2 linked regions of the Ovis aries genome follow. The protein of the gene in region 2 binds, or shares a complex with, the protein of the main gene of each other region. Links are inferred from orthologs where the notes say so. Each region holds a gene or a part of one and is shown on either strand. Other genes may lie near its edges.

Region 1 (7,301 bases), on a different chromosome or scaffold from region 2:
AATGATCTGTATGAATTGTTTCATGATATCAAAAGGCTAACTTAAAGTAGATTCTACAAATGCCTGTCCTTAAGCTGAGATTTAAAGGAATGGATTGAGTGAGATTTGAATCTCTACCACAAGGAGCAAAGTCGATTCAAGCAACACAAGCAGAGTATCTCAAATGAAACCCATCCCTTGGGTAAGACAACCATGGCCCTGTGTTTGGTTAGGGCACTGCAACTTCCCTTCTGCGCATCACTTTCCAATTTCAGTTTTGAAATTTCTGTTCATAATGATCCGTGAAGGGGCCTAACCGAAACTGATGATGCAGCCTCCTTTCAGATGTAGTTGTCTTGGAAACTTCTTATTTCAAGTTGCTGCATCCTCACATCCTTCAAGGTATGGTCTTGCCTTTTTGGTATGGAATAAGCAATACTGAAGGAGCTGTAAGATGGCAAGTTTCTAGATAGAGATGAGACTAGTATTTAGAGAACTTTGAAAATGGTGGTTTGGAGAGTAATAGGAAATGTTTAGAATACAGGTATATAGTGGTTACTGCCGTAGCAGTCCCTGTCACAGTTGAGGGCTGCCGAAAGAGGTATGTATCTCTCTTCTCCCACCACAGTTTAATGTTTTGAGGGACTGGGATGGTGGTTTCCCCAAAGGAAGTACCTTTGGGGATTTTCATTTGGAGATTTGAAGTCTAAATCTAACAGTACCTTGGAAGGGTATGAATAGCCATAAAGTTATCACATAGCCAGCCATATGTCATCAGTAATTTTACTTGACATCAAAATACTTACACATTTGCGTTGCTGATGGAGTTTTTTTGAAAGTTTGCATTTGAAGGATTTTTTTTCAAAGAATTAATAAATGAATAGGGACTTCAGGAACAGATTAACAAGGAAATCTTTATAGTATTTGAGAAAAGGAGATTAAAATGTAAGATGGGTATTTACGCTCATATTCTTCACTAGTACACTAGTTAAAATTCTTTTAAAAATACTTAACAGATAATTTCATATAAGTTATAGTTTCAAAGAAACAAAAATGTATTAAGGTTCAGTTTGTGTGTATGTGTTTTATTTTTTTTAATTTTTATTTTTACTTTATTTTACTTTACAATACTCAGTTTGTATGTATATGTTTTATACATAACCTTCCCAAATGGATTTGTGTTGACTTACAAAACTACCAAGATATGTGAGGACAAAGAAAAAGTTAAGATGAAGATAAATCAGGATTTTTTGTTTCTGTCTGAACTGAATATAGTCAGCAAACAAAAATGGTGAATTTAATATTTATTACCTCATATTATTGCAAAATTCAACAATGGGATTAGCTTTAGAAAAAGATTTAACCAGTGAACTCAAATGAGGCAGCCTAAAATTTCAGTTTTTTTGTTATTCTGGTCTGCCTTCTACTTTCTATTTGAGCAGCAGGCTCCATATGAACATCACTACCCATATATTTCCAGATTTCCAGAAAAGGCTGCAGATATTCTCAAGTATCACAAATGGTAGACTCCATAGGATACTAAATAAATCACATTTTGTTCTTAAGTATTATAAGTTACAATAAGAAATGTACAGTTATTTCAAGGGCATTATTCTGTGTTGCTGGGGGTTATTAGCTGCCAATCTGCATTTCAGTTAAGACTCCTTTCTGGTAATCAGCTTAAACTCTGTTTACTAAATGCAAAGCTACATTGACATGGTTTTCACAATATCACTGACTTTAAATTCTAAAAATTTGGGGTACATATGCTTATATTCTCCATATTTAAGATGCCCGTGTTAATTTTTTTTCCCCCTGACTTGCAGTTGATTTGTGAATCCTTGCCTCACATTATGGGATTGCTAGACAGACTTTCAGGCTTGCTTGGCCTCAAAAAGAAAGAAGTTCATGTTTTGTGCCTTGGGCTGGATAATAGTGGCAAAACAACAATCATTAATAAACTTAAACCTACAAATGTAAGTATATTTATTAGATACATTATGTATTTTCTGCTAAAGCTAATGGAGGATTATTTTGTCTGTCATTGTAACATCATTGTCACATTATGAAATCTTATTAAATTTGTGATACCTTTAGTAAAGTAATAAGTATCAGCCAGCCATAACATGAAGTGTATTTTATGCTGATATGTAGGTAAATCTTGACTATTTAAACTGGAATATTCTCCAAATGCCTTTCCTTCTCAAAAGCTCTTCAAAAATTTGTGGAGTTTACGTTCAGGTAGCATTGCCTTCGTTTTGACTTTCTCTTTACAAGAGGAGCAAAACAAAGGGAAAGGTGGATCATTTTTACAGATTCTGTGGATAATTAGCCAGTTTCCCAAGAGTGTTACGTGCGTATCGGTAGTAGCAAGCAAGATGACTTTAAGTCATGTAAGTCATAAGTACATGAATGTATTATTTAAATAAGTGAAATATATATATAAGCTAGCACATTCACCACATAATGTATGAGTTATGTTGTGCTGTGTGCCCAGTCGTGCTGTGTGCCCAGTCTTGTTTAACTCTTTGCAACCCCATGGAGTATAGCCTGACAATCCTCTGTCCATGGAATTTTCCAAGCAAGAATACTGGAGTTGGTTGCCATTTCCTACTCCAGGGGATCTTCCCCACCCAGGGATCAAACATCTTGTACCTCCTGCATTGGAAGGCTGATTCTTTACTACTGTGCCATCTGGGAAGTATAAGCTACAATTAGGTTCTGCTTTATATAAAGAAAACCCGCATAATGGTGGACTGAAGATGGAGGGTTCTTTTTCTGTCATCTCAGTGAGTCCAGAAGAAATATTCCAGGGCTGGTGTGGCAGCTGCATGGTCCAGGCACCTTCCATCTTTCCTCTCTGCTATCCTTAGTGCCTGATTTTCTTCAGGGTCTTCGGAATCTCCACATGGCCATCTTAGTTAACTATCCTCAGTTCAGTTCAGTTGCTCAGTTGTGTCTGACTCTCTGCGACCCCATGTACTGCAGGATGCCAGGCCTCCCTGTCCATCACCAACTCCTGGAGCCTACCCAAACTTATGTCCATTGAGTTGGTGATGCCATCCAACCATTTCATCCTCTGTCGTCCCCTTTTCCTCCTGCCTTCAATCTTTCCCAGCATCAGGGTCTTTTCCAGTGAGTCAGTTCTTTGCATCAGGTGGCCAAGTATTGGAGTTTCAGCTTTAGCATCAGTCCTTCCAAGGAACACTCAGGACTGATCTCCTTTAGGATGGACTGGTTGGATCTCCTTATAGTCCAAGGGACTCTTGAGAGTCTTTTCCAACACCACAGTTCAAAAGCATCAATTCTTCAGCACTCAGCTTTCTTCACAGTCCAACTCTCACATCCATACGTGACTACTGGAAAAACCATAGCCTTGACTAGACAGACCTTTGTTGGCAAAATAATGTCTCTGCTTTTTAATATGCCGTCTATATCTTAAGTTGCAGGGATGGGAAAAGAACAAGCAAAAGAATAAGTCTTCCTGCCAAATAAGTCCTCTTTAAGGAACTTACTCAGAAGCCTCAACTACCTATTCTTTCACCTCACTGGCTACCCTATCTGTAAATGAGGCTGGATTTTTTTTTTTTTTTAAAGCAGGACATATTGCTGCTTCCATTAGTAATAGGGGTCCTGTAAGTACGAAAGAGGGGCTTCCCTGGTGGCTCAGTGGTAAAGATCCCACCTGCCAGTGCAGGAGAAGTGAATTTGATCCCTGGGTTGTAAAGGTTCTATGGAGAAGGAAATGGCAACCCACTCCAGTATTTTTGCCTGGGAAATCCCATGGACAGAGGAGCCTGGCAGACTACAGTTCATAGGGTTGCAAAGAGTTGGACTTGACTTAGTGACTAAACAACAACAAAGTATGAAAGAATAGGAGAGTAGATAGAGGTAAACAGTTAACATTGACAGTTGTAAATACTTTTATCTAGATAAAAACCATTAGTCAATCAATGGAAAATGTTGATGAAAAAATATATAGCCTGCATATAAATTGAGCTGCTGCTGCTGCTAAGTCACTTCAGTCATGTCCAACTCTGTGTGACCCCATAAACAGCAGCCCACCATAAATCGAGCAGATGTTTCAAAATTAGGAAACTAGTGCTCTTAATGACTGACAGGCTGGATAGTAGGAAGCATTTCTCCTAAATATGGTAATTGAAAGTGGACTTAATTGCCTCCAAATAGTGCTTCAGGTTGGGCAGAATAAGAACTCCTACTGTCCCCCACCACCTTTTCCCCAACAGCTTCATTTTTACTTCTGTTTAGTTTGAGATTGCTCTCAAATTACAAAAATGCCATCATTTCTTTTCTTGTGGTCATCATTCCCTTCTTCCACGTGAGAGAGTTTGCCATGTGAAACAACTAACTACTGGTGTATTTTCAAATGGCAGTTAGTTTGAGGCAGCTGGGATAAGAAGTTGAAAATGGAGTTAGAAGGTAATTTAGGTGTTTTAAGGGGCTCTCCAGTCAAGTTGGAAATCAGCTGAAATAGATGCGCTAAAATCAGAGATTAAAAAAAAATTCCAGTTTTATTGAAATACTAATTTTGGAGGGCAAGGTTTAGTTCTGGCCAGAGGACTTGCTAACACTGTCTTGAGTTATGATTCATGTCCTAGAATTCAAGCTTTCCTCCTTAGGGAAATACCCTGCTTGTCTAGGTTTGCTGCTACTGCTACTGTCGTGTCCGACTCTGTGCGACCCCATAGACGGCAGCCCACCACGCTCCCCCATCCCTGAGATTCTCCAGGCAAGAACACTGGAGTGGGTTGCCATTTCCTTCTCCAATGCATGAAAGTGAAAAGTGAAAGTGAAGTCTCTCAGTCGTGTCCGACTCTTAGCAACCCCATGGACTGCAGCCCACCAGGCTCCTCCGGCCATGGGATTTTCCAGGCAAGAGTACTGGAGTGGGGTGCCATTGTGTTCTCCCCTACCCACTTGAATGGAGTCCAGATTGAATTTAGAGAACCATACCCAGCTGTGGTTGGGTCCATAATTAGTTCCACGGATGGTTTGGCTGTCAGTGGATCAACCTGGGCTAATATTAAGAAACTTAGCGGCTGGTGATGTGCAGCACTTCTGCAGGTAAGCCTAGTAGCATAGGGAGCAAGATTATAAGGAAGTTCTTCAGGTAAGGTCCTATTCTATAAGAGAGATTTCCATTTTTTTCTACATCCAGGAATATCTTCAAAAGAAATTTTTTTGTAAAAGTTGTGTCAAATAAATACAAAATTATGGAAACCAGAGCCACAGTTAATAGTACCAAAGTGTGTCAGCCCCCTGGTGCCTACTGTACTCAGATTGGCAGAAATGACATTCAAAGAACAAAATGGAAATTATGTTATCTCTTTCCATCATCCCCAACAGTATAGTGATCTTCTGTCCCAAGACATGGTTATTACTGTAGGAATAATCTTTGATATGGATGGGAACAGCTTTCTTCTCTAAACATTATTGATCATTTGGGGCAGCAGGGGAAGGAGGCATCTTGAGCTCAGTCTACCATCTTAAAATATCTAATATCCCAATTTCAGACTAGTCCTGTGCAAGACCTGCTGACCCTGCCTAACACATTATACTAGTCAGGGAGAGCCCTCAGGAACATCTGGGCATGCAGCCAATTACTGAGGCTTTTTAATTAATCTTTTGTTTTCCAGCATATGCATCTCTCTGCTACCACTGGTGAATTATGGAACTAGCCTAGACTAACTCCAGGGCTATTTTTAAGGGGATCATCTAATTTCTGACACCACTTTCTGAGCGTTAATCTTTAGGCAACTATCCTGTCTCCTCAGAGCAATTGACCTCTACCTTCTGAGAGCAGAGTAAGTTGTTTTACTTAAAAACAACAACAACAACAACTTCATGATTATAGCCAAGAGGACACTTGAAATGGGACTTCTTAAAAGCCCTAAAACCTGTCACCCAGGCACAGATAAAACACTTGCTTCCTCCGTACCTTTGAACCCAAGAACAGTCTCTTGTGAGCTTATATCCACTATGAGAAATATTATTTTTAATGAATTGAGGTGAGTAATAGAAATCAAAAAGCAGAGACATTACTTTGCCAACAAAGGTCTGTCTAGTCAAGGCTATGGTTTTTCCAGTAGTCACGTATGGATGTGAGAGTTGGACTATAAAGAAAGTATAGCGCCAAAGAAGTGATGCTTTTGAACTGTGGTGTTGAAGAAGACTCTTGAGAATCCCTTGGACTGCAAGGAGATCCAACTAGTCCATCCTAAAGGAGATCAGTCCTGAGTGTTCATTGGAAGGACTGATGCTGAAGCTGAAATTCCAATACTTTGGCCCCATCATGCAAAGAACTGACTCATTGGAAAAGACCATGATGCTGGGAAAGATCGAAGGCAGGAGGAAAAGGGGACGACAGAGGATGAGATGGTTGGATGGCATCACCGACTCAATGGACATGAGTTTGGGTAAACTCTGGGAGTTGGTGATGGACAGGGAGACCTGGTGTGCTGCAGTCCATGGGGTCGCAAAGAGTCAGGCGCCAGTGAGCGACTAAACTGAACTGAATAGAAATATATGATCCTCTATTAGGAAATGTCTTGAAAGAAATTACAAGTCTCATTTTATAGTAAAATAGTCTCTTATATGTTTTTGCAGAGGGATAAAGTCAGTTTCTAGATAACTAGATACTTCCTGCATCCAAACTGGTTTTTAACATTAAGCTCTCTTAATGTTCATTTGTTGTTAATATGTTAAAGTTGCTGATCTTTTCTAAACTGATAAGGAGAGAAAAGAGGTAATTTTAACCTGATAACTTTTCAAGAATCTAGTCTTAGTGTCATGCTAAGAGATGTGCTCTATTAACACCTTTCTTCTAAAATTCTAACTTTTGCCCCATTCCCTAACATAAACGCTCTCATTCTATCTTGTCATCCAGTTTTATATTCTTAACATTTAAAACAATCTGAAATTGCTTCATATATTCAGTTGATCAGTTATTACATTTTCTTCATCATAAAATTAAATTCATAAGAGCATAGATCTTACATTGTTCAATAATGTTGTTTTAGTCACTAAGGCAAGTCTGACTCTTAGCAGCCCTATGGACTGTAGACTGCCAGGCTTCTCTCCGTGGGATTTCCCAAATACCTAGAATATTTCTTGATAGTTAAATGTAATTTTGTACAAATGGACTGATGGGTGATTTTTTAATTTTCATTTTTGGGCAGGGAATGATTATTAATCATACCAAGGATATCATTTTCAACAGATTTAGTAAAACTTACCAAATAGGGCCTCTCTTGAAAACCTTGTTCTAGTCTTACTGATACTGGTCTATTACTGGGTTGTCT
Region 2 (7,748 bases):
TGGCTTTATTTTTCTATTTGCTTCTACAACGTATATGTATTTTTATTGAGTCTAAATTGATATTTTCTCCAAATTGCTGCACAGCTAAACCATCTTCAAGCATTGTTGTATATTTCCATACAGAGTTATTTTAGCCTCAGAAAAAAAATTTGTCCGTAATACCCTGGGACCGAGGTAGAACCTTCTCAGATCTCTGTGTAGGAAATCATTTTTTTTTTTTTCTTAAGAAACTCTTCTCAAGGGATTAATTTTTGTTTCACAAACATCTCTGAACTGTCCTTAGTAAGCCACAGAAATCGTTTGTGAACCCTCTCCTCATAGACCTCAGAGACCACTTATTCATTTGCAGTATGTCTGCAGGCAGAGTATGACAGGCACAAAGGACAGACTGGTGGAAGTCAGTCAAGGAATGTCAGTGCTCAGATCCTGGATCACCACTATAGGCCAGCAGCAGTGTGAGGATTCCTTAGGCCTTTTCGGAGATATGTGATTTTGAAGGTATTTTCATAATACTAAGATTCTATTTGCCTTTTTCACTGCGTTGACATTTGTACTGACGGTACAAAAACAAGGGTTAATAGTGCTGGTACTTAAGCATGCATCAAGGCAAGGGCTTTAAACTGTTGCAGTCATTTTATTCTTCATCCCTTTGTTACCAACAAGAAACAATGCTTCATGTATTAATAAAAACGTCCTTTATGAAGCAGTGGAAATAGTTAATTTTAAGTCTCTATGCTGAATTATCTTTTTCAATATTCTGTGGGGTGATATGTGAAGTTTGCACAGAGAATTTCTAGCGAATACAGAAGTACATTAGTTGTTTCAAGGAAAACTACGTGTAAGATTATTTGAGTTTCTGGCTGAATTCACTGATTTTTTTCCATGGTACATTTTTTTTGAAAGCATGACTGACAGGCAAATTATGATTATTTAGACTTGGATACTTGGCATATACTTCCTTATTAATTCAAGAAGTGAAACTATCATTTAAAGGAAAATAATTGACATTTGTTGCCAATGCTTAAAATTCAAACTTTTAAGCACAAATTAGAATTTTGCAAAAATTTGTGTCCATCATCTGAGGCTGACAACTTTCCAACACTTCAGATTTTTTCTGATGGAATCTTTGATGACATACACAACATGCTCAAAAGTCTGTTTGTTAAATGAAGCCGCATTCCACATTGCAACTAACTTTTCAAAACTACCACTTGTTGAGTTTGGGCCTCATTTTCTTCATATACTTACAGTAAAAAAAAAAAAAAAACAACAAAAACTACATATACCAATAAATTGTATGCAGAAGTGGATCCGGGACATCCTTGCTTACTCTTCAGGTGGGCAGTCAATAGATTTGCAAACAAAGCCAGTCTTTTTACTTTTATTTTGGAAAAGAATGCTTTTTCATTAAAATATATACATAATGAGTTCATTATCTTTTCAATATTATTTTTAGAAATTTAGTTCTTTTTCATAAGTATCAACAGATAATTCATATAAACAAATGTCTTTAGGGTCCTCAACAGTTTGTAAGAGTTTTGTAAAAGCGTCCTTTACAAAATAGGAAAAGGAGTACGTCAAAGCTGTATATTGTCACCCTAGTTATTTAACTTATATGCAGAGTACATCATGAGAAATGCTGGGCTGGAAGAAACGCAAGCTGGAACCAAGATTGCTGGGGAAAATATCAATAACTTCAGATACGCAGATGACACCATCCTTATGGCAGAAAGCGAAGAAGTACTAAAGAGCCTCTTGATGAAAGTGAAAGAGGAGAGTGAAAAAGTTGGCTTAAAGCTCAACATTCAGAAAACGAAGGTCATGGCATCTGGTCCCATCACTTCATGGCACATAGATGGGGAAACAGTGGCTGACTTTATTTTTCTGTGCTCCAAAATCACTGCAGATGGTGATTGCAGCCATGAAATTAAAAGACGCTTACTCCTTGGAAGGAAAGTTATGACCAACCTAGATAGCATATTAAAAAGCAGAGTCATTACTTTACCAACAAAAGTCTGTCTAGCCAAGGCTATGGTTTTTCCAGTGGTCATGTATGGATGTGAGTGTTGGACTATAAAGAAGCTGAGCACTGAAGAACCAATGCTTTAGAACTGTGGTGTTGGAGAAGACTCTTGAGAGTCCCTTGGACTGCAAGGAGATCCAACCAGTCCATCCTAACGGAGACCAGTCCTGGGTGTTCATTGGAAGGACTGATGCTGAAGCTGAAACTCCAGTACTTTGGCCACCTGATGCGAAGAGCTGACTCATTTGAAAAGACCCTGATGCTGGGCGGGATTGGGGGCAGGAAGAGAAGAGGACGACAGAGGATGAGAGGGCTGGATGGCATCACCCATTCTATGGACATGGATTTGGGTGAACTCAGGGAATTGGTGATGGACAAGGAGGCTTGGCGAGCTGCGGTTCATGGGGTCGCAAAGAGTTGGACAAGACTGAGCGACTGAACTGAACTGAACTGAAGCGGTCCTAGGGCCAAAAGTTGGAGAACTGCTCCTTGTAAACTAACTCCTACGGCGATGAAACATATTTCTTTGAGGGAGCCTTTTCAGTGGCGGTGAAACAGGTCAGAATCTACCCTGGCTTCAAGTCAGTGCTCCACACACAAAGACAAAGACTTGGGACTCAGCGCAGTCGTGGCATCGTAGCTCCTCTGCGTCTTGGTCTCCCTGGAAACCACGCTTCTCAGGGCTCCTGAACCCGGCCCTCCTTTCCTCTCCGCCTCTCATTGGAGCGGGGTCAGTCAGTGGGCGGCCTGTCGGGAGGTGGGCGTGGCTTCATGCCCTACAGAGCCCACTCGCAGGAACGACCTGACGTCACGCAGGACGCCGCTGCCCTGACGCTCCGCCCTTGCATCCCCCACTGAACCCACCACAGTAGCTGGCGTTACCCTCAAAGGAGTCGCGAGCAGTTTCCCCTGAGGCCTGGGATACCACACTCCTTGACCCACCTAGGCCGGCCTGGCGCTGTCCGCCGCGTCCGTGCCGCCGTCATGGATCTGAACCTAAACCGAGCGGATTATTTGCAGGTAAACCTGAGGGGTTGGGGCGGACGCTGCGCGTGGTGAGCCCCGCTCTAAGAGAGGATTCGATCCTTCCACTGCCGTTTGTTGGGGTCTGTGGGAGCCGAGCGGTGAAGGAGTGGGTGTGAGTGGAGCCCTCCAGACGCCTTCCGCACAGGCTTGCCTGCGGGGCGGGTCCGCGGGCACTTGGAAAGGAGGAGAACCGCCCCCCCCACCCCCCGCCTCACCGCCCTGCCCCCGCCCCCGCCCCCGTGTGCCGGCGTCCTGAAGATGCTCTGAGTGTCCTGACGCAATCCGGGATTCCTCCCCAAGGCCCTTCCTTCTCCTCCCTCCTGGCTGCAGCTACCTGTGGGCTTCAAACTCCTGACTCTCCTTCTCTACCCAGTCTCGTGTCCCACGGGCCAGACACTTATTTCTTACTGTGAGCTGGACCTGGCTACCCGGACAGTAATAAAAGCAATGGTAGCCGTTTTCGAGGGTCTGGTTTATTCTCAGAGCTTACCTTTTGTGCATATATTATATTGTTGTTCGTCGTTCAGTCGTGTCAGATTCTTTGGGACCCCATGGACTGCATGCAACATGCCAGGCTTCCCTGCCTTCACTGTCTCCTGGAGCTTGCTCAAACCCATGTCTGTTGAATCGGTGATGCCATCCAACCATCTCATCCTCAGTCATCCCCTTCTCCTGCCCTCAGTTTTTCCCACCATCAGGGTCTTTTCCAGTGAGTCAGCTCTTAGCATCAGGTGGCCAAAGTATTGGAACTTCAGATATATTTTCCTTCACAAAAATTCTAAAAGTCGGTACGTGACGATCAAAGGGAATTTTCATAATAGCCAAACTGATGCAGTTCCTATCTGAAGCAAAGCCTTTTCTGTTATACCACCCTGCCTCTCAGTATTTCAGCCGTAGACTTTCCGTCTTCTCCATCCCCTTTCCCAGTAATCCTCTTTTGGCTAATGGTACAAATGTTTATCCTGCCACTTTACCTGAGACTTACGCCAGATAATTACCACGGTCAGTTCAGTTCAGTTCAGTCACTCAGTAGTGTCCAACTCTTTGTGACCGCATGAATTGTAGCACGCCAGGCCTCCCTGTCCGTCACCAACTCCCAGAGTTCACTTAAACTCACCGTCCATCGAGTCGGTGATGCCATCCAGCCATCTCATCCTTTGTCGTCCCCTTCTCTTCCGTCCCCAATCCCTCCCGGCATCAGGGTCTTTTCCAATGAGTCAACTCTTCACATGAGGTGGCCAAAGTACTGGAGTTTCACCTTCAACATCAGTCCTTCCAATGAACACCCAGGACTGGCCTCCTTTAGGATGGACTGGTTGGATCTCCTTGCAGTCCAAGGGACTCTCAAGAGTCTTCTCCAACACCACAGTCCAAAAGCATCGATTCTTCATCACTCAGCTTTCTTCACAGTCCAATTCTCACATCCATACGTGACCACTGGAAAAACCATAGCCTTGACTAGACGGACCTTTGTTGGCATAGTAATATCTCTGCTTTTAAATACGCTATCTAGGTTGGTCATAACTTTCCTTCCAAGGAGTAAGCATCTTTTAATTTCATGGCTGCAGTCACCATCTGCAGTGATTTTGGAGCCCCCAAAAATAAAGTCAGCCACTATTTCCACTGTTTCCCCATCTATTTCCCATGAAGTCATGGGACCAGTGTCATGATCTTCGTTTTCTGAATGTTGAGCTTGAAGCCAACTTTTTCACTCTCCTCTTTCACTTTCATCAAGAGGTTTTTTAGTTCCTCTTCACTTTCTTCCATAAGGGTGGTGTTATCTGCATATCTGAGGTTATTGATATTTCTCCTGGCAATCTTGATTCCAGCTTGTGCTTCTTCCAGCCCAGTGTTTCTCATGATCCCACCTTAATATCTTCCATATCCATCTGGTCACCACATTTTGCTGTTTCTATCTCGGAAGTATCTGTTGAATCTGTCACATTTTCTCCCTCCATCTCTGTTGTCCCCAGTTCAGTCCTCATCTCTTGGATAATGGAAATAGCCTCCATCCTCCTCTCCCTCCAACCCATACTTTACAACAGTGGCTAGACTGATGTTTCAAAAATACAAATCTAAGTAGATTAGTTTAAACGTTAACACTATTCCATAGAATACAGAATAACAGAATAGATCTGTATGTACAATATGTAAATTCTTTCATGGTCTGTTGTCTCAATTTCTCTCCCTTTGGTCCCATTCTCCTCCCCTAACCATGCCCAACGGCTGACATTTCTCTGCTGAGCAAACCATGCTGTTTTCAACTTCTGTATCCTTTGTAAAATAATCTTCATCATCAGTTAGATTGGATGTCATTGTCATCAGCATGTTGGTGTCTTAGCAAAAATCTTCTCTATTCCATTTTCAATAATAATCTATTTCTAAAGATTTTTCAATACAAACTCTTCTTTAACAGCTGTCTGAAGTTGTAAAAAAAGGCTTCTAGATATAATTTTTTCGTGTGAAGTACCTTGCCAGTAATGTCACATAATTATATTTGACTTGACAACTGTATAGCATGAATTTTACTGTTTTTGATTGTTTCCTATATTCTGACTTTTGTGGCATATTTCATTAGAAAATAAGTTCACTTCTGATAAGAATTATTTTATATCACTAATTGTAATGAAAAAACTAAGGCTTACTATGATTAGAATCTGCTGGTCCTTTTAATATTTGAGGTATAACTTTAAATTAGTGTATTAGAAAACATTAACTATGCAGCTGATGTGTTTCCTTAGGTGGGGGTGACCTCTCAGAAGACTATGAAGCTACTTCCTGCCTCAAAACATAGAGCCACACAAAAGGTAATGTAGAGATACTGATTCCTCCATATCTCTCTAGCTCTTACAGAGGAGAGGTTTATATTCTCTTCTTTATTGACAAGTGTTTTTTAAATTTCAAAGCTAAAGTGGAAATAGATTTCTGTTAATTTGAACAGAGGTTGGAATACCAAGGGACACTTATATACAGTAATTTTCTTGTACATTATAAGTATCATGTACAATCAGTAAATAGTATTAGCAAACTAGTTGAAAACCATGTTCCATTTTTCTGGGAATAATTTTCCCTGAGTGTACTTGTGCATACCAGATTGTATATATGAAAAAAGAAATATAAAACACAATATGCTGTAGAGAAAATACTTTTAAAAAACTTTGTCATATTTTTAAGAGTAATTTTTATTTTAAACTTTATATTTAGCAAACAATATTGATTTTTTATAGAAATATTAATCCTGAAATTTCTGTAAGACAATATAATTTCTTAGTATACTAATGGGATTCTTTAATAGCTGCAAAATAAATACAGTATTACCATATAATACATTTTATCAAGATAAATCAACAGATTTTTGATTATCATTTATTGTATTCAGTCTACTAAAGCAACACTTTTCAAACTTTTTTGGTCTTAGGACTCATTTATAGTATTTTTAAGATCATTTTATTATTTTGTTTATTTTTTATTGAAATATAGTTGGTATACAATATTATGTAAGTCAGAGGTATGCAATATAGTGATTCATAATTTTTAAACATTGTATTCCACTTATAGTTATTATAAAATATTGGCTCTGTTCTCTGTGTTATATAGTATATCCTTGTACCTAATTTTATACATACTGGTTTGTATCTCTTAATCCCTACTCCTGTGTTACCCTCTTCCTTCCCTCTCCCCACTGGTAACCCCTGGCAGTTTGTTTTCTGTATTTGTGACTGTGCTACTTTTTGTTATATTCACTAATTTGTTGTGTTTTCTAGATTCCACATACAAATGATATATGGTTTGTTTTTCTCTGTCTGACTTATTTCACTAAACATCATGCCCTCTAAGTCCATCCATGTTGTTGCAAATGGGAAAATTTCATTCTTTTTCATGACTGAGTAGTATTCTTTATCCATTCATCTATTAATGGACACTTACGTTGTTTCTATATCTTGGCAATTATAAACAGTGCCATGAACATTGGGGTGCATATATCTTTTTGAATTCATGTTTTTGGTTTTTTCAGATATATGCCCAGGAGTGGCATTTCTGGGTCATATAGTAGTTCTATTTTTAGTTTTTTGAGAAACCTCAATATTGTTTTCTATAGTGACTGCACCAATTTATATTCCCACCAACAGAGTACAAGAGTTCCTTTTTTCCACATCTTTGTCAGCATTTGTTATTTATGTTATTTTGGATGATTGCCATTCTGACAAGTGTGAGGTGATATCTCATTGTGGTTTTGATTTATATTTCTCTGATGATTAGTGATGTTAAGTATCTTTTCATGTCCCTGTTGGCTGTTTGCATTTCCTCTTTGGAAAAATGTTTATTCAGGTCTTCTGCCCATTTTTTAATCAGGTTGTGTTTCTAATATTAAGTTGTATGAGCTGTTTATATATTTTGGATATTAAGCCCTTATTGCTCATGTTATTTGCAAATACTTTCTCCCATTTGATCGATTTCGTTTTTTTCTATGGTTCCCTTTGCTGTGCAAAAGTTTTTGTTTAGGTAAATCAACTATATTCAATAAAAATTAAAAAACAAAAAAGCTTTTAAATATATCAAATAGGTCTGTCACAAACTTATTTTCATAATGCTTTAAAAATAAATCTTACAACATTCTTATGCCTTGGTGACGGGGAAAAAGTCAGCTCCTTGCCTTATCCATCTGTATTCTCTTGTTCTCTTTACCTTGTAGGAAACC

The links.
Region 1: the proteins of BBS7 (region 2) and ARL6 are in contact, whole or in part, in a cryo-EM structure (PDB 6VBV), measured with the Bos taurus proteins. The link is inferred for Ovis aries from reciprocal best matches to the Homo sapiens genes BBS7 and ARL6. Residues at the interface, in NP_001178275.2 of Bos taurus: Leu3, Ile249, Val250, Gly251, Asp300, Gly301, Tyr302, Asp303, Thr319, Glu320, Pro321, His323, Lys324, Glu325, Ser326, Gly327, Pro328; in NP_001069250.1 of Bos taurus: Met132, Asp133, Arg135, Thr139, Ser140, Val141, Ser144, Trp157, His158, Ile159, Cys160, Ala161, Asp163, Lys166.

The regions. Positions count from the first base shown.
Region 1 is NC_056054.1:162,973,743-162,981,043, forward strand, and holds part of ARL6 (ADP-ribosylation factor-like protein 6), read left to right. Parts: intron 1-1,805; 5' UTR 1,806-1,832; coding exon 1,833-1,955; intron 1,956-7,301. UniProt on the Homo sapiens protein: Involved in membrane protein trafficking at the base of the ciliary organelle. Mediates recruitment onto plasma membrane of the BBSome complex which would constitute a coat complex required for sorting of specific membrane proteins to the primary cilia.
Region 2 is NC_056059.1:3,709,648-3,717,395, forward strand, and holds the start of BBS7 (Bardet-Biedl syndrome 7 protein), read left to right. Parts: upstream 1-2,876; 5' UTR 2,877-3,007; coding exon 3,008-3,043; intron 3,044-5,790; coding exon 5,791-5,856; intron 5,857-7,748.